4 linked regions of the Mus musculus genome follow. The protein of the gene in region 1 interacts with the protein of each later gene in a pairwise test. Links are inferred from orthologs where the notes say so. Each region holds a gene or a part of one and is shown on either strand. Other genes may lie near its edges.

Region 1 (5,348 bases):
AGAGGCAGAAGGTGGTCTCACAAATCTTTAATCCCCAAAGGGTAGTTGGCTTTCTGTGAATTCCATACCTGCTTGATCCACATATGAACTACAGGGGGACATGATGAGGTCCAGTCTAAAGGTCACTGGCAACCTCTCTCAAGATCTCCCTCACTATGCCATTATTCAGGATTGGGGAAGATGTGGCTGGAGCCTAAGGGGCTCTTCCCTTCCCTATGGTGGGACTCATTAGGAGAACCTCAGCAAGCAGCCCACTGTAAGCTCAAACAAATACCATGTCGCTGGTATGGAGTATAGGCTGTTGCTATGACAGGAACTCAGGGGTCTTAACTGGCTTGAGCGCTGGGAGGGGGCAAGCAGCCAGGCCTTGTCTGTAAGCTGAAGACCTGGCAGTGCTGAGCTGGTCAGCCCCCAGGACCTCCTTTTGTGCCCACGAGTGACTCACCTTGGCATAGACATAATGGTCAGGGGTGGGCACGCAGCCTGCTTCCCGCTGTGCTCCAGGCCTCCTTCGATGCTTTCCGAGAAGTCTATTGAGCTGGGAGCTTGTACTGCACCCGGGGCTGACATCCTGGCATCCTGGGATAAAAGCAGCCCACGGGGCTGCCCTTGCCATATGCCTCACTGGCGGCAGAGAACAAGGCTCTATTCAGCGAGTACCCTGGAGTAGACACCAGAAGCCCAAGCATGGGCAGAGGAAGGCAGGGGTTGGGGGGAGCAGAGCTGTCTGTGTTCCAGAAGCCCAAGGACACAGATGGCTAAGGCGCCTGGGAGAGGGACCTGAGTGGAAGAGATAGATGGGCCTGAAGTCTCAAGCAGCAACAGCCTCCTCCCCGCCATTGGTGAGGGTGGGGTTTGGTTTCCCGGACCTACATATCCCTCAGAGGCCTGGTGTGTAGGAATTTAAAGGGGGTAAATCTCCTGAGAGAATGAGGGGTACCCAGGAAGACGGGGTGTTACAGAAAGAAAGACTCCAGCATGCACAGCCAACTCATTCAAAACTACTCTGTCAGGGGCTGCCAGGGGCCAGGCTCGGGGTGGGGGGTGGGGGGCAACGAGAAGCTGGATCAGGGAGAAATGGCCCACTAGGCTGGATAAGAGGCCACAGAGGGGCTCAGGAATGAAGCCTGCTGTCTTACCCTATTAGGATCTGCGTGCATACCTTCTGCCGTGCACTCTAAACACACAGCCAGAGGCTCAAGTTGACCCTGGAGTCACAGAGAGGGCTCCAACCTTAGCCCTCCACTCCTGAACTCCAGGAATGAGAAGATAGAGTTGGAGAGATTCAGGGGAGAGGACTCTGTTGAGAATGGGGGTCACAGGAAACTGTAATATAGGTTGATCCCGGAGGAAGGGAATAGGTTCTTCAAGTTCCTAGCATCTCACAGGCCCCCAGAGAAGGACAGAGTTGGGGTGGTCCTGGCTTACAGGCTCTAAGAACTGGAAGCTGATTACCCCACCGAGCTGTGCACTCTCTGTCTCTGTCTCTGTGTGTGCGCTCGTGCACACTTATCACACAAATGTTCATGTGTGTGCACATACATGTGTTGAGACCAGAGGTCAACCTCAGGCACTGTTGCCTTGGTTTTCTGAGAGAGCATTTCTCTCTGGATCTGGAACTCGCCAATTAGTGAGAGCCAGGAAGTCTGCTGATTTTCACTGCCCAGCACTGGAGTTTACAAGTATGCACTGTCAACCCAGGCCTTTTGTATTCATTCTGCAGCTAGAACTTGGGTGGGTCTTCATGCTTGACAGGCAAGCAATTTATGGACTAAGCTGTTCCCTCGGCCCTCTCTTGACCCATTTACCAGAAAGGGGGTTCCTTGATCAATGGCGAAGCCAGGCTGGTGTTCCCAAGAAAGCCTTGACTCTGGGTACAGTGACCTCAGTGGGGTGAGAGGAGTTCTCCCCCTAGCTGGGCTGGGGCCCAGCTCCACCCCCTCAGGCTATTCAATGGGGGTGCTTCCAGGAAGTCAGGGGCAGATTTAGTCCAACCCGTTCCTCCATAAAGGCCCTGACATCCCAGGAGCCAGCAGAGGCAGGGCAGGATGGAGCGGAGACGCATCACCTCTGCGCGCCGCTCCTATGCCTCCGAGACGGTGGTCAGGGGCCTCGGTCCTAGTCGACAACTGGGTACCATGCCACGCTTCTCCTTGTCTCGAATGACTCCTCCACTCCCTGCCAGGGTGGACTTCTCCCTGGCCGGGGCGCTCAATGCTGGCTTCAAGGAGACACGGGCGAGCGAGCGTGCAGAGATGATGGAGCTCAATGACCGCTTTGCTAGCTACATCGAGAAGGTCCGCTTCCTGGAACAGCAAAACAAGGCGCTGGCAGCTGAACTGAACCAGCTTCGAGCCAAGGAGCCCACCAAACTGGCTGATGTCTACCAGGCGGAGCTTCGGGAGCTGCGGCTGCGGCTGGACCAGCTTACGGCCAACAGTGCCCGGCTGGAGGTGGAGAGGGACAACTTTGCACAGGACCTCGGCACCCTGAGGCAGAAGTGAGAAGGGGGATAGGGGAAATGGCTAGTGAGCAGAGAGACTGAAGTACAAGGGCTGCCTGCCTGGAAGAAAGGGCACTGCCTCCCCCAGGGGAGCCTCTCAGCTCCTGCATTTCCCCATGTCTGGGAGAGCTATCTTTGTTCCCTAATATGATCGGAATAGCCAGGAAGAGACTAAAAACTTCGGGGATCTGATTCTCAAAGGGAGCTGGGCACTCTGGGCACCTCCATGCTGAGGGAGGCTGGGGGCTGGGGGGTAGCCAGGGTATGAGCCAGCAGGTGCTTTCTTTCTTCATTCACTTGGCATTATGAGTGGCCAGAGAGGTTTGTATCCACAAGGAGGCTCTGAAATATAGGAAATGCAAGAAAGAGCGGCCAGGCCTGGGTGCAGGGCCCAGATGATGGATGGCCTATCACCTGCTTTTGACCCTGCTTAAGCCATTTTGAGTGGGGTAGCTGTAGAGGTCAGGAAACAATCTGTCCTAAAAGATCGGAACCAAGGGTCACACTCCAGGGCATGGTGCTTTGCTGGGTGGTGGGCATTCATGTGTCCCTCTGGTGCAGGAGGGGCACTGGTGTCAGTGACAGTGAGCACACGGTGGAGGATGCGCCTGTGGGAGCAAGAGCAGGTGCACCAACCCAGATAAGACACCTCAGTAATGAGCTAAGGCGGCAGCCCTTATCTGTTCACTCTCTCAGCCGAGGCCTCTGTGTAGGAACCCTCCGTTGCTTACTTCTGCCACTTTACCGGTCCTGTGGGATCGGTTTGTGACCGTCCCCTCCCTCTGGAGGTTAGGACAGGGACCCAAGAGTTCTCAGGAAAACCTAAAGCCCATACTGTGTCCCCTCTCCCAGGCTCCAAGATGAAACCAACCTGAGGCTGGAGGCAGAGAACAACCTGGCTGCGTATAGACAGGTCAGAGAGATGAGCGGGATGGGTGGGGGGAAGGCTGAGGGCAGCCCACCAAACACAGCCCCTGAACTTAGCCCTCCACAGCAGTCGGTGCTGCCAAGATTCCCACAAGGAGGGGGGAGACTAAGGGGGAAATTTTAGTAGGGAGGACTCTGGGGTCAAAGGGACTCTCTCCCCACTCCAGGAGGCAGATGAAGCCACCCTGGCTCGTGTGGATTTGGAGAGAAAGGTTGAATCGCTGGAGGAGGAGATCCAGTTCTTAAGGAAGATCTATGAGGAGGTGAGGCCAGGGAGGAGGAGGGAGGCCTTCCAAGACACTGCAAGTGACAGACAGAGACAGAGATGCTCAGAGAGGAGGATAGAGGAACCAACTGTCAGGAGGAAAAAGAAACAAGAGAAAGAGTAAAGACACAGAGACTAAGGGAGATGTGTCCCATATTTACTAGCCCTGAAAATGTTCGCAGCCCCTCCACCGCCATGTTCTGAGAAGCACAGCACCAGGTCTTTAGCGTCTCCTTCACATCAGCTCATTCGCCCTTATTACTACCTCCTTTCACAATGGTGGGGACATTGAAGTCCAGAGAAGTTGAAACACACCGCAAAGTCACACAGCCAAAAACCCCTCTGAGGGCCTGTCACGGCAGTACACATCTCAGCCTGTGAGAGGTAGAAGCAGAATGTTCGAACTGTTCAAAGCCAATTTCGGCTACACAGAAAAACTGAGACCAGCCTGGTCTACAGGAGAGCCTCATATAGGCTTGTGTGTGTGTGTCTCTCTCTCTCTCTCTCACACACACACACACACATCCTTCTGACCTCAGAGCCTGGCTGTGAGTCATAGGCATGGCTGGTTCCTGACTATCCAGTCCTGGGGAAATACCCTCAAACTCTCATTCCATGCCCATTGAGGGTTTTATTTTTACTTTTTGACAAGGTTCCACTGTGAAGCCTTGGCCGGCTTGGAACATTCTATATAGACCAGGCTGGCCTCAAAACCATAGAGATCTGCCTGCTCTAGCCTCCCACTAAAGGTGTCTGCACTGAGTCTGGTATATAAGCCCATGAGTCTAGGCCATGCACTTCCTCCAGTAACAGCAGCCTCGTTTCCACAAGCCATTGCCGTGTCTAGCAGACAGAAGTGTGAGTCTTCGAGAACCGAGCTGGAGTCTAGGCCTGAGGCTTGAGCCTCAGTACCCCTTTTTTACCTTATTAGGAAGTTCGAGAACTCCGGGAGCAGCTGGCCCAACAGCAGGTCCACGTGGAGATGGATGTGGCCAAGCCAGACCTCACAGCGGCCCTGAGAGAGATTCGCACTCAATACGAGGCAGTGGCCACCAGTAACATGCAAGAGACAGAGGAGTGGTATCGGTCTAAGGTACCTGTGGGCCAGTTTGCCTCTTCCAGGAAGCCTTCCTGCTATATACTGGAGAATAAGGGAAGGAACCTTGGAAAATAACCTATCTAGATGACCAGTCTTGCCCAGAGAGAGAAGACTTGCCTAGGACCATGTAGGCATTACTACTTCCCAAACTACTCGTTGTTATTGCTATTACCTGTAATAGCAATAATAGTCAATAATAGCTAATAGGTTCACTAGCTTGCTCAGTGTCACACAGCTTCTAAGGGATAAAGGGATAACGTTTCCTATCCTAACCCATCTCATTAGAGAGTCTGCCTTTTTGATGCCTCTGCCAGTCTATGTCCTATGTTACTGAACATCTATTGTGTACCAGGTACTTTGGTCCAGAGGTGGACAGAGTTTGTTCGGACTGTAGGAGGCAGGGAAGATGAGGGGGTGGGACTTGTGCTAGACAAGCAGCCTAGAGACTCAGGAGAAGAAGGAAGGGCATCTCAGGTGAAGAATAGGTGCTATGAGGAGGTCTGAGACAGAAAAGCGCAGACAGAGACCAGGGATGCTGCTGGCCCAGGGCACGA
Region 2 (4,894 bases), on another chromosome or scaffold:
ATAGGTGGAACAACATGAACTAACCAGTACCCCGGAGTTCTTGACTCTAGCTGCATATGTATCAAAAGATGGCCTAGCTGGCCATCACTGGAAAGAGAGGCCCAGTACAGGGGAACGCCAGGGCCAAAAAGTGGGAGTGGGTGGGTAGGGGAGTGGGGGGAGGGTATGGGGGACTTTTGGGATAGCATTGGAAATGTAATTGAGGAAAATACGTAATAAAAAAATATTTAAAAAAAAGAAACACACAGTAGGAAAAAAATAATAAAGCTGGAGCTGGGTGGTGGTGTTCTATGTCCTTAATCCCAGCACTGTCAGGAGGCAGAGGCAGGCGGATCTCTGTGAGCTCGAGGCTAGCCTGCTCTATATAGTGAGTTTCAGGACAGCTAGAGCTACATAGTGAGACCCTGTTCCAAAACAAAACAAAAAGGGCACTTCTCAAATCAGGCACTGTCGTGGGAAGAGGGCAAGCCACGGTCAGCCTAAGCTAGGCTGTAAGGCTCTAACAACAAACATGAACACAGAGCAGTGACAGCAGTGTGTGAGTGTGAGGTTCCGCCCTCTTGGGAGTCAGTTAGCTCAGGGTAGTGCTTCTCAACCTGTGGATCATGACCCCTTTTGAGGTCGCATATCAGATACCTACATTTCAGTTCATAACAGTAGCAAAATGACAGTTATGAAGTAGCAATGAAAGAATTTATGTTGAGGGTCACCACAACATGAGGAACTGCATTAAAGTGTCGCAGCCTTAGGAAGGGTGAGAACTCCAGGGTGAGAAGGGTGAGAGGCTTCAGGGCCTTGGCATGGCAAGTATCTGTAGTTCCAGAGATGCCCAAGGCGTCGCTCCGGCTCAGTCCAGCTGCGTGCTCACTGCTCATCCACAGCTGTGCCTCTATCTGATGTCACAAGGCCACTGTGTGCTCTCGCGCCTCCCACCCTCACCCTCACCCTCACCCCTTTCCTAGTCCTGCTGATTTTTGATAAAGCAGTGCAAATGCAGGTCATTGGAGGAAAGATAGTCCTTTGGACAAAATGATGCTGGAGCAGTCAGACATCCAAAGATAACCACGACCTAATCTCACATCTAGTGGTGAACTCTTAAAACATCACGGACTTAATGTGTATAAAACTCAAAACCATGAAACTTGTTGAAGGAAAGTGTAAGAGAAAATCTTGGGTGTTTGGGGATAGACAAAAACCCTCCAGACACCAGCAGCATGGTACAGAATAGAAAATACTAAAACATGTACCTCATTAAAACTTTGCCCTGCAAAAGATCCTGTAGGAAGGGTGAAAGGGTGCCCGATGGAGAGGGGCACACATCTGATCCCAGCGTGGGGCAGGCTCAAGTCTACATGGCAAGTTACAGGCCAGCCAGGGAGGGCTAAACGATGAGACCTGTCTCAGAAAAGAAAAAAGATAACAGGAGATGGAATATAATCACAGTGTTTTACATATTTGTATGAAATTGTGAAAGAACACATTTTAAAAACTCTAGAAAGCAATAATTTAATTACAATAAGAACATGGGCTACAGAGATGGCTCAGACTTAGGGCACTGACTGTTCTTCCAGAGGATCCAGATTCAATTCCCAGCACCCACATAGGAGCTCACCATGGTTTATAACTCCATTTCAAGGGAATCTACTGCATTCTGGCCTCTAAAGACTTAAGATGTGCAGGTAGTACACAGATGTACATGCTAACCAAACAGCCACACACATAAGTAAATGTAAGAGAGCACTTTAGAATAAGGACAGGAGCCATGGAAATACATTTCACTTAGATGCTTGGATGGAAGTAAACATTGGAAAGGTCTTCAGCTTTATTAGCTGTTTGAGAAGTGCAAAATAAAACCAGTGACAACATCACTTACCGCTGGTGAGGGTGCGGAAAAACTGAGTCCTTCACACACTGATGGAAAGACAGATGTCTAAGCTACTCTAAAAAACATTTCAAAATCTAAACATGGCTACCGTCTGAGCAGCTGCAGTGGTGGCATGTGTCCCTAAGAAGTTCTGAAGACATCTGTGTACACTGAAACCTACATGTGGGTATGATAGCAGCTCTGTGCGTAACACACAGAAGTTAGAAATGGTCCAGATGCCCTGCAGCGGGCGGACAGTGAAGAGAACCTGAGTGCTCTGCAGGATGTTAATCTCAGTAGTAGGGAGGGAACAGCCTCATGCATTGCTCAAGAATTTTTGTTGCTTGTTTGGTTGTTTTTTTGTTGTTGTTTGTTTGTTTGTTTGTTTGTTTTTTAGATAGAATCTCATTATGTAGGCCTGGCTGGCTTGGAACTCACTGTGTAGATCAGGCTAGCCTTAAAATTATAGAGATCCACTGGCCTTTGCCTCCCAAGTGCAAGGATTAAAGGCACATACCACCATGACTAGCTTCTCTGAAAAAAATTTCTGCCTAGAAAAGTTACCCCAAGTTGCATAAGGTATGATTCTAGCTTTTCAGATGCTGGAATTACAAAACAGATATCATAGGTGAAAGATGAACAGAAACGTACGTGTGGCTGCAAAAGAACAATAGAGGGGTTCTGGTACAGATGGAAATGTCCTGCACCTTGACAACCCAAGTCCCGTTCTCAGAGCACACTCTGGTTCATAGGATATGAACTATGGGAAGTGTCTGGGAAGGCCAGGTTCAGGTGTCTGGTCATCCACATCTGTGTGAGGGCAGGTTTGTTAAAGTAGGAAGGGAAGGAGAGAAACCAGGACAGATGTGAGCACCAAGAAATGAGGTACTACAAATAGATTGAAATGTTTGCATTTTTATGGTTTCAGAGAAGCTAATGACTCCTGAGATGTTTTCAGAAATACTTTGTGATGACCTGGATTTGAATCCACTGACTTTTGTGCCAGCTATTGCCTCTGCCATTCGACAGCAGATTGAGTCCTACCCCACAGACAGCATCCTAGAGGATCAATCCGACCAGCGTGTCATCATCAAGGTAGGTGCCAAGAGTACACTCAGCCCTTGATGGAAGCCTGTCAGGTTCCCTGCTTGGGATGCGGTTTCTGGGATGACATCTCTCAGGGACAACTGACTAAGCACTCAGGAATGGGTGGGCTGACTTTTCAGATTTAAGTGTCACATTGTGGGTAGGATAGCGAGTGCTGCTGCATCTCCATCAGGACAACCAGTGCTGCTGCATCTCCATCAGGACAGTTGCTGAGCCAACCCCAGAGTTGGGAGAGCCCACAGTGAGATGTGCAACGTCAGTGTAATGTTCTTATGGGCTGGGTCAGAAATACTTTATGATTCAAATACATGTTTGTATTTCTGCTTTCAGTTTTTGGGGTTTATACTCCAAATTAAAATTAAGTTAGTTAAAATTAAACAAGTTAAAATTGCTAGGACATGATTGTTAAGAGCATTGGTTGCTCTTCTGGAGGACCTGGGTTTAATACCCAGCCTCCATGGGGCAGCTCATAACTGTCTGTAACTCCAGGGTCTGACAACCTCACACAGACGTACATATAAGTAAAATACCAGTACACATTAAATAAAAATAAATAAATCTTAGAAAAAAATCTCTAGGTCACTAGACTATCTGCCCTTTATTATTTTGAGGACCTATCAGACTTGCACAGGAGTCACACCGTCTTATGCCCCCACTAACAATGCACTAAGGTTCCAGTTTCTCCCCAGAATCAGTAAAAGTTGTTCTTACCGCCCTGCCTCCCTTCTCTCCTTCATTCCCCCTTTCTTCCTTTCTTGTGCGATAGTAGCCATCCTAATGGGGTGAAGTATCTGATTATGTTGACTCTTTAGCTTCCTTATTAGTGTGCTATTATGCATGTGTCTTACTGCATTGATTTTTTTTCTATAACTGTTATTAGTATGTGTGTGCCACCACAAATATGTGAAGGTGAGAGCACAGGTTTGTGAAGTATTGTTTTTCTTCCACAGAGTTCGGGAATAGGCATATCTTTCTAAGGGGTAGCAAGTAGATGGGGTAGGTGTGCTTGTTCGCAGCTTGGCAGGATGCTTGTAAAGTAACATCAGGGTATGGACAGTGGCTTAAAACAGGCTCAAGGACAATCCCTGAAGAGTGGCATGTAAGCTGAGCTCTGCATGGCCAGCATAGCTGCATAAAGGTTGATTGTCCGAGGTGTAAAGGACAAAGAAGACACTTAGCCAGCATGGGATGCAAGAGGAATAGAAGAGAGGTTACGGTGGGATCAGGTGCCCAGGACCTCAGTGTCTAGTGACAACCTGGAAGTCGGGGAGGTCGGTTCTATTTTATAAATAAGGAGCTAGACAGACCAGGGCCTCAGTTTCTGAGTGATGGGCTGGATTTCCTCCAACCTGGCAGCTGAGAATGGCTTGTCCCCACCTCCTCCCAGCTCTCCTGGGGGACTAATGTTTGGCCTTCACTTGTGTTTCTTGGCCCCTGCTGCAGCTGAACATCCACGTGGGGAACATCTCCCTGGTGGACCAGTTTGAGTGGGACATGTCAGAGAAAGAGAACTCCCCAGAGAAGTTTGCCCTGAAGCTGTGCTCAGAGCTGGGCTTGGGCGGGGAGTTTGTCACCACCATTGCATACAGCATCCGAGGACAGCTGAGCTGGCACCAGAAGACCTATGCCTTCAGGTAGGATAACCAGCATGGTCATCTTTCCCGCTGGTCTTGTGTTTTGTCCATTTCCTTGCCTCCACTGGAAAAAGATTTCATTGAGAACTGGAATGCTTAGGAAAAGCAAGAGCAAGGGGCTTTCTGCAAAGCCATGGCAGTTCAGGAAGCTTGTTAGTAGGCGTTTGACTCAGATAGGTTTACCAGACATCCCAAGATTCAGCTTCCTTAGGGATTTCTGTAATGTGAGCAAGAGAAAAAAGGTCTAGAGGGAGGCAGCTCCAGTCCCAGGGGATCCAATGCTCTCTGA
Region 3 (4,040 bases), on another chromosome or scaffold:
TCACAGCACCCAGCTGTAAGTTGCCTATAATTGCAGACCCAAGGGATCCCTTTTCTAGTGTCCACGGGCACTCAAATATGTGGCGTGCATACAGACACACACACATCACTTTGTAGACCAGGCTGGCCTGCTGGGTTTCAAGGCATCTTAATCTCTCATGCAACTCAGTCATAAGATCACAGATTGGCCAGCCATGAGCTACAGTGTGGAAGATGGGAGAAAACAAATCTTTGCTGTACATTCCATTTTTGTGGCTAGGAAATTGTGTCTTACTACTTGTACAGTGTCTCTGTCTAAAGATGGTGTTCTCTGTTTGGGAACCTGAATAGTCTAGATAATTACCCACTATAAATACCAACGGCTTTTGTCATGGAAACTTTGCTTCCTGGCTAGAGCAGCCTCATAATTCATTCTCATTTTGAAGACTTGCTTTTCTGTTTCCTTTGTTTTGGAAGTTTGGGGGCAAGATCTCACTAAGTAGCCCTAGATGGCCTGGGACAAGCAGTGATCTTTATGTTCCTGCCTCCTGAGTGCTGCTGATGTTATAGGGAGGGACTGACATACCCACTGAACACTTGATAATTGCAAAGCTCTGAGCTAGCGCTTTAGGAGAGATGGAAATGAATAAGGCTATCTCTTACTGTGGTTTAGAGGAAAGTTGTAAAGTTTGTGGTAGCGAGCTCTAAAGACTGCCTACTTGTGTTGGACAGGTTATCGTGGTCCTCAAGGTTGAAGGATTGAGGGAAGGATGTATTGTTACTATCTATAATTTTGTGGTTTTGTTTTGTTTTGTTTTAGGGCTGAAAGAATCAGGATCCCTGAGCCCTGGATCACACCCCCAGATCTACAAGAGAAAATCCATATTTTTGCCCAAAAATGTCTGTTTTTGACAGAAAGTCTAAAACAGTTCACAGGTAATATGAGGAAGAGAGTGGGTTTATATTCTGAGTGTGTTGTTATCATTGTCATCTGAGGATGGATTTTCTAACCAGTTAAGAGTCATATAAACCGAATCTCTTCTTTTTTTGTTTTTAGAAAAGATGCAGTCAGATATGGAGAAGATCCAAGGTAAATTTACCTATTTCCTGAGCTCTTGACATTTTAAGTTTCTTGGAAAGAAGCGAGTATATAGACAGTCCAGGGGGTGTCAACAAGATAGCTCAGTAAGTGCAGTCACTTACTGGGCAAACCTGTCGACCTGAGTCTGCTACTTGGAACCTATACAAAGGTATAAGGAAAGAACAGAATCCACGTGTGTAATGACATTTGTGATCGCACACGCACACACACGCACACGTTATTCATGTGCTTCCCTACCTGACACCGTTGCTTTAGTTTGGGTTTGGTTGAGACAGTCATAATGTGTAGCCCAGTCTAGCCTATTACTCACCGGTCTCCTGCCTCAGACCTTCTGCCTCTGGGGTTACAGGTGTGGCGCCATATCCACAGCTACGTTTAGTTCGGTGGCTAGTAACCAGAAGTGGCTTTCCTTGATCTGATTCTTCTTTCTCTTCCTCTTCCTTTGCCACTTCAAAGACTTGTGTGAAATCCTTGGCCAGCTAGAAACCCCACATAAATTAATGATGGCAGTGGGTGTCATTTGAGCCACCCAGCCTCTACAGCAAAGATGGTTCGTACAAGTTAAGAGTTATATATATTATATGTCATGCATTTGAACTTTGCCTTTGCAGAATCCAGTGGCTCTCTGGAGGGTGGAATTCTTGATCTTGGCTCAGTGTGATACCATGTTTTACAAAGTTCATACATGTTATCTGTATAGCCAAGGTTCCCAAACCCCTAACCCTAAAAATCCTTGCATGTGCAAAGCATAGTGGTGCATGCCTGTAAACCTAGTACCTCACAGCTCATCAGCAGTGACTGCCATGAGTTTGAAGCCAGCCTGGCCATACAGTGAGTTTCAGGTCAGCCTGAGTTACATAGTAAGACTGTCTTTCTAAAAGAGAAAAAAAAATTCCTGGGCAGATAAGCAGATATGGAGTCATAACATCAAATGAAAATCAGTACCCAATTGACACAGGCGTTCTGCAATGCTAGTGGGTTCCACTGCTTTATGGTTTGTTTTTTGTTTTTTGTTTTTTCACTTAACATGTTTCCTAGAAAGACACACAGGTTCAGTAACTTCTTTTCTCTCTTGTCTTTCAGAGTTGAGAGAGGCTCAGTTATACTCAGGTAGGTACCTGAAGACAAACCATGTTGAAGAAAGGATTAAAAGCCCTATGAGCCTGACCACTATTATAAGTGCTTTGAGACAGCCTCAAGTTTGAATCCTTTAGTTGCATATACACAGATATCATACAGCCAGAAGCCCAGTAGTTGGGAACATGAGGCAGGGACATCAGGAGTTTAAGGCCATTTTTTTGCTACTTAGTTAATCCACATAGATTTCTGTTTCAAAAAAGATAAAGGGAAAAACTTAAAAGAGTGGATGTTCAAGGCAAATTCTCAGAACAAATACAAGAATGATTTGAAAGGTGGTAATATTAAACTTTAGCTAAAACTATTGGCCACCAAAGTTTTCAAATTCAGAAATTAGACATATGTAAAGAAGCTTTAAATGAAATCTCCGAAGGAGGTTGAGCCTTAGATGTGAGAAAAGGAGTGGGAAGTAAAATTGTATTACTTTCATTGTTATCCATACAGAGGCAATCAGCTAATCTAACCGTAAATTTTTAGGTTCTGAGTCAGGGTCTTACTATGTAACACTGACCATGCAACATGGGCTGGTCTGGAACTCCTGAAGATAACTTCTGCCTCAGTCTCCACGTGTGCCACCATGCTTAGTTCCAAGAGAATTTTTTTACATAATCAGTTCACCGTGTGTCTGATATATAATGAGTACAGCCTCTGGTGGGCATCTCCTACAGTGTTCTGGGGAAGTCAGTGAAATACCAGGTAGTCTTGAGTGGGCTCTTCTGGCCCTCAGATGACACCCCCCCCCCTTTGTTTCTACAGTTGATGTAACCCTGGACCCAGACACAGCCTATCCCAGTCTGATTCTTTCTGATAATCTTCGGCAAGTACGGTACAGTTACCTCCAGCAGGATCTTCCAGACAACCCTGAGCGATTCAATCTGTTTCCCTGTGTCTTGGGCTCTCCATGTTTCATCGCTGGGAGACATTACTGGGAGGTAGAGGTGGGAGATAAAGCCAAGTGGACCATAGGTGTCTGTGAAGACTCGGTGTGCAGAAAAGGTGGGGTGACCTCAGCCCCCCAGAATGGATTCTGGGCAGTGTCATTGTGGTATGGGAAAGAATATTGGGCTCTTACATCCCCAATGACTGCACTACCCCTGCGGACCCCTCTCCAGAGAGTAGGGATTTTCTTGGACTATGATGCTGGTGAGGTTTCCTTCTACAATGTGACAGAGAGATGCCATACCTTTACTTTCTCTCACGCTACCTTCTGTGGGCCAGTCCGGCCCTACTTCAGCCTAAGCTACTCGGGAGGGAAGAGCGCAGCTCCTTTGATCATCTGCCCTATGAGTGGGATTGATGGGTTTTCTGGCCATGTTGGGAATCATGGTCATTCCATGGAGACCTCTCCGTGAGGAAGTGAACGTAGACCACAAGTGCTGTTGCCTGTAATCCTACCCCAGGCACAAGGGATCTTGTCCTGATTCCTGTCCATCAAAATTGGGTGTCCTTACCATTTCCGTGCCCCTACAGTGAGAGACAAGATGTCCATCCATGGTCTCTACTGCATTTTCCCTTCCCTTGCAGATTGTGAGATGTAATGAAAAGTATTGCTATTTCCCAGAAATAAAAACTAGATTCCTCCTGTGTTTCATACGTTTTGTTTTTGTTATGACTGAAGGACATAAAAGAATAGGATTTGGATTTGGAGACCCACTTTCCAGAATCTTGTCCTGGCTTCTCTTCATGTGGATCACAATACGGAAAGTATGAGCCAAATAAAACCATTCCTCCCCAGGGGGCTTTTGTCAGTGTTTGTCATAGCAAGAGAGACACAACTTAAGGTGCCAGATTCGTAAGCTATTGCTATGATAGACTGACCTTGT
Region 4 (4,894 bases), on another chromosome or scaffold:
TGGATCAGTTAGACACACTGGGCTTTCTCTTAATTAGTTAGAAACGACAAAATAGCAAGTGGTTTTGAAATCCTTGTTTCTCCTTTCTACATTATATGCTCTTACAAGTTTAGTGATGAGTTTTATATTTAAAAACTCAGTGCTAGTCTGAGGGATTGATGCCATTGGTCAAAGTGCTGTGTAAGTGTGAGGACCTGTGTTCAAATTCCAAGAACCCATGTGAAAGCGGATGCTAGATACTGTGAACATCTGTAATCTCAGTGCTCCTGCAGAGAGATGGGAGGCAGAAACGGGATCTCTGGAAGCCCGAAGGCTAGCTAGCTTGATATACACAGCAGAACAACAAGGAGACCTGGTCTCAGGGAAGATGTGAGGACACACACTAACACACAGAGGTAAATTAAAGGATAAGAACTCAGCGCTTTCCGCCGTGCCAGTTTTCTTCCTGAGATCTACACCTTGTTTACCAGTCGCACAGATCATGGGTTGGGAGTTAAGACCTGTCATCATACTTCACTGACCGATTATTTTCTTCACTAGCGCCTAATTGAGGAAGAGAATATGCTGGCCCCATCTCTGAAGCAGTTTTCGCTGAGGGTAGAGATTTTACCATCATACATTCCAGTGAGAGTTGCTGAAAAAATCCTCTTTGTTGGAGAATCTGTCCAAATGTTTGAGAATCAAAATGTGAACCTGACAAGGAAAGGTAGGAATGCCCTTGTTCTATTGGTCCCATCCTCAGAGGCTCTGTATCTGCAACACTGGCCCAAAGCATGCAGGGTTAGAGTGGCTGATGACAACAATGACTGCAGCAAAACCGCTCTGATAGATTTGCCTGGGCCACTGTGGCCCCCTCCACCCTGTCTGCCCTGACTCCTGTCTGATGATCATGTCATCATAATCCACAGGGTCCATCTTGAAAAACCAGGAGGACACATTCGCTGCCGAGCTGCACCGGCTCAAGCAGCAGCCACTCTTCAGCCTGGTGGATTTTGAGCAGGTGGTAGATCGGATTCGTAGCACTGTGGCTGAGGTCTGTCTTTTCTCTTCTAGTGTTCCAGAAGACATGAGTTTGTAGAACCCTAAAGGGAGAGAGAGCGGGGAGGGGGGTACCTATGGGGCTGGAGAGATGGCTCAGTGGTTAAGAGCACTGGATTCAACTTTGGTTCGATTCCCAGGACCCACATAGTGGCTTTCAACCATCTGCCACTCCAGCTCCAAGAGATCCAGTGCCCTATTCTGGCTTCCAGAGGCACTGGGCAGACATTGATACAGATAATCACTAGGCACACACCCTCACACATGAAAAGAAATAAGTGAAAGAACGTCTGTTTTTCAGGTAGAAATGGAACTGATGTGTTTTAATCAGTTGATTAAAGGGAAGTCTCAGTTTAATTTCTAACACTCATGAATTTGGGTGAGGAAAAGCTTTGTGTGTATGTCTGTGTGTTTGTGCCCATGTGTGTGTGTTTTATTATCGACCATGTATTTCACTTGTACATGGTAATCTTGGAAGGAAAGCCACGCACACAGGATGGTGGTCCTGGCCCTTGAGACAAGTGGGAGGGTTGCTAGGGATTCTAGGTACTGGGACTTCTTGAGCTGAGGGTGCTTATATTGATTGGCCTGTTCATTGTGAACTTCAAGATGTAAGCTTATGATTTATTTGTTTTTCTGTATAATAGTCACTACTTTCACTAAAATTTTGGATATGTAAGAGAAAAACTCTTGTATCTAAAGTTGTTTATTATTTATATGGAGACATAGTAATGCTAATTTATTGCTGGCTAGTCTTACACATTCCCCTTAACTCTGTGTAACTAACTTTTTTTTAAAGGCTTATTTATTTTATGTATATGAGTGCACTGTCGCTCTCTTCAGACACACCAGAAGAGGGCATCAGATCCCATTACAGATGGTTGTGAGCCACCATGTGGTTGCTGAGAATTGAACTCAGAACCTCTGGAAAAGCAGTCAGTGCTCTTAACCTCTGAGTCATCTCTCCAATCCCTGGGTAACTAACTTAATTCTGGGGTTTGATACTATAAAATTTTTTATGTACAAAAGATTACATCACCTGAAAATAAGAAAATAAGAAGTGTTTTACAACACTTCTTCTAATGTTTAACACCCCACCATACATTGTTCTAGGATCTTTATTGATAAAGTAGACAGGTCGCCTTTGTTTGCATAAATTGTGTCAAACAGCAGAGGTAATATTGGACGTCTCTGAACTCCTGACGCTTAGAGATGCAGAGAATTCCTGCATTACTATGACATTTGCTGTAGGCTTCTAGAAGGCAGTGTAATAAACTATTCTCTTCCTAGTTAGCTGGGTTTTTTTCTTAAGTGCTGTCAGGTTTACCAGTTGCCCCTGTGTTAGTGGAGGAGAGCAGTCTTGCCTTGGATCCATTTCTCTTTCATAGTTTTTATATCTGTATGCATTAGTTAAGAAAGACAATTGTCTTATTCTTGGGTAGTTTTTACATAAGCCTTATAAAATGGGTTAGGTAGGTGCTTTTGTTCCTTTTCTTTTTGTTTGTTAAACAGTCTGTGTTTTCTTTGTTTGTAATTGTTACTTAGAGTTTGAACTTCCCTGAAAAGTGATCTAGGCTTCCTTAGGAAGAGAACCTTGACTGGCTGAGTATGTTTTAAAACTAAGTTGCCATAAAGCTTCTTCTTGTAACAGTTTTGATGACTCTGTAGCTTTGCAACTTGACTATTTCAGGTGGACTTAAATTTTTAAAATACTTGCTTATCTATAAATAGGTTTTGTTTTGTTTTGTTTACTTAAGTTTTGTCTTTTAAACATGATTTTGTGGCCTGTCAGTAGTAGCATAGGGCAGGCAGAGGCAAGTGGATCTCTGCATTTGAGGCCAGCTTGGTTTACAGGACAACAGCCAGGGCTACAGAGAAACCCTGTCTAGGAAAAAAAAAAAAAAAAGAATAAATAAATAAATAAATTGTGTGTCTGGGTGTGTAGTGTATGTACTTATGTTACAAGGTAGGTAGGTGTGTGTGTGTTGTGTGAGTGCGTGCGTGCCTGTGGAGATTAGTTTCAGAAATCTTCTGTTTTCACTCTCCTACCTTACTGTTAGGACAGCATCTTTCTGAACCAAGAGCTCACTGTTTGGGCTGGCCTGGCTGGCCAGGGAGCCCCAGCACTCCCTGCCTCCCTGTCTGCCAGCATTGGGTTAGGCACGAGCCACTGCTCAGCTTTCACATAGATGCTGGAGATCTGAACTTGGGTCCTTATGCTTGCTTAGCAAGGTTTTTCATCACTGAGCCATCTTGCCAGCCCCAGTTTTTCTCATTATTTAGTCTTGTTAGGCTTTTATTAAGATTAATAAACTAGTTAGAACCAGCTTTTCCCCCTTAATTTAAAACATACTAACTTACACATTTAGAAAAATTATATATAAATGTAACATCTGGGTACCTGGAGATGCAGAAAAAGCATTGGCTAAAACTCTCCATTAGTTCATGACTTATAAAAAAAGAAAAAGAAAATCTAGGCTTTCTGGTACACACCCCATCAGTGTAGCACTGGGAAAACTATAGCATAGCAGGAAGATGACTGCCAACTCCAGGCCAGCTTTGCATAGGCAGCAATCCCATTTAGCTTTTTGGGGTTTTTTTTTTTTCTTCTGTTTTTTTGTTTTGTTTTTGTTTTTATAAAAAGGACTCGAGAGATGGCTTATCAGTTAAGAGCAGTGGCTTGCTCTCCCAGTGGACCTGGATTTGATTTCCAACACCTACAAAATGGCTCACAACCATCTGGAATTCCAGCTCCAGGGAATCTGGCATCCTTATCTAGCCTCTGAGGGCACGAGCCAGGCATATGATACAAAGATATGCATGCAGGCATAACACCCATACAAGTGTAAAAAAAAAAATCATACAACTTATCTATGCATCTCCAGGTACCCAGATGATTTTTCCTATTAACTTTAATGTTGTGCTTTTTTGAGACAGGGTCTCCTTCTGTAGAGACTCTTCCTGTCCTGGAACTAACTATATAGATTAGGCTGGCCTTGAACTCAACAGAGCTCCTTCTACCTCTGCTTCTGATGCTGAAATTCAAGGCATGAGCTACTCCGCTTGGCTACAGTCATGCTTTCTCAAAAGTGACTGGGGAAAAAAAAATCAAATATGTACTCAACTTTGTAGCCATTTAAAAATGGTATTCACACAGAGTTGTATATGTAGCTATTACCATTAATTTCAGGACATTTTTATCTTGTATAGGTTTTGTTTCTGTCTGCTCATTCCTAGGATTAGCTGAACTTGGGTTCACTGTAATGGATTTTTGTGTTTTTTTTTTTAATCTCATCACAGCACCTCTGGAAGCTAATGGTGGAAGAGTCAGATTTACTGGGTCAGCTGAAGGTAATAACTGACACTCTTTTAAATCCGGAAATGATTCTGGAAAGCAGTCTTATCTACACTGCCACAGTCGATTCATTTGTTCTTACTCAAGTGAGGAAAATATATTTTATGCTACAAATCTTTTCTACTCTAAAGATTCAAGCTTACTTTCTTCTGTTGTGATGTAAATACCATCAAACAGAGTCTTCCTGCTTTGGGAGGCTGCTCTGTATGTCTCTTTAAAATGTCAAGCCTGTATCCTTCAGACTGCTAGTATCAGCCTCTCTGTGTCTAATTCATTTGGGGTGGTCAGGGCCTCCAGGCTCTGATTTACTGAATTGTACACTGAAATTCTTTCCCCAGATCATTAAAGACTTTTACCTGCTGGGACGAGGAGAACTGTTCCAGGCCTTCATTGACACAGCTCAGCACATGTTGAAAACACCACCCACTGCAGTAACAGAGCATGGTAATTTTCCTGTGGCCCTGAGAGTAAAGTTTGCTCAGGTTGCAGGGTGTTTCTTGG

What was found. The genes of interacting proteins can lie anywhere in the genome.
Region 2: the proteins of Gfap (region 1) and Smarcb1 interact in binary tests that used the Homo sapiens proteins (3 or more experiments, as listed by UniProt). The link is inferred for Mus musculus from reciprocal best matches to the Homo sapiens genes GFAP and SMARCB1.
Region 3: the proteins of Gfap (region 1) and Trim27 interact in binary tests that used the Homo sapiens proteins (3 or more experiments, as listed by UniProt). The two-hybrid records come from large-scale screens. The link is inferred for Mus musculus from reciprocal best matches to the Homo sapiens genes GFAP and TRIM27.
Region 4: the proteins of Gfap (region 1) and Tubgcp4 interact in a two-hybrid assay, tested with the Homo sapiens proteins (2 studies listed by BioGRID and IntAct). The two-hybrid records come from large-scale screens. The link is inferred for Mus musculus from reciprocal best matches to the Homo sapiens genes GFAP and TUBGCP4.

The regions. Positions count from the first base shown.
Region 1 is NC_000077.6:102,893,818-102,899,165, reverse strand, and holds the start of Gfap (glial fibrillary acidic protein), read left to right. Parts: upstream 1-1,965; 5' UTR 1,966-2,048; coding exon 2,049-2,500; intron 2,501-3,355; coding exon 3,356-3,416; intron 3,417-3,597; coding exon 3,598-3,693; intron 3,694-4,626; coding exon 4,627-4,788; intron 4,789-5,348.
Region 2 is NC_000076.6:75,904,095-75,908,988, reverse strand, and holds part of Smarcb1 (SWI/SNF-related matrix-associated actin-dependent regulator of chromatin subfamily B member 1), read left to right. Parts: intron 1-2,792; coding exon 2,793-2,959; intron 2,960-4,414; coding exon 4,415-4,605; intron 4,606-4,894.
Region 3 is NC_000079.6:21,189,057-21,193,096, forward strand, and holds part of Trim27 (zinc finger protein RFP), read left to right. Parts: intron 1-798; coding exon 799-914; intron 915-1,035; coding exon 1,036-1,068; intron 1,069-1,536; exon of another isoform or gene 1,537-1,630; intron 1,631-2,163; coding exon 2,164-2,190; intron 2,191-2,973; coding exon 2,974-3,569; 3' UTR 3,570-4,040. UniProt on the Homo sapiens protein: E3 ubiquitin-protein ligase that mediates ubiquitination of various substrates and thereby plays a role in diffent processes including proliferation, innate immunity, apoptosis, immune response or autophagy.
Region 4 is NC_000068.7:121,183,794-121,188,687, forward strand, and holds part of Tubgcp4 (gamma-tubulin complex component 4), read left to right. Parts: intron 1-540; coding exon 541-706; intron 707-908; coding exon 909-1,033; intron 1,034-4,338; coding exon 4,339-4,389; intron 4,390-4,731; coding exon 4,732-4,837; intron 4,838-4,894. UniProt on the Homo sapiens protein: Component of the gamma-tubulin ring complex (gTuRC) which mediates microtubule nucleation.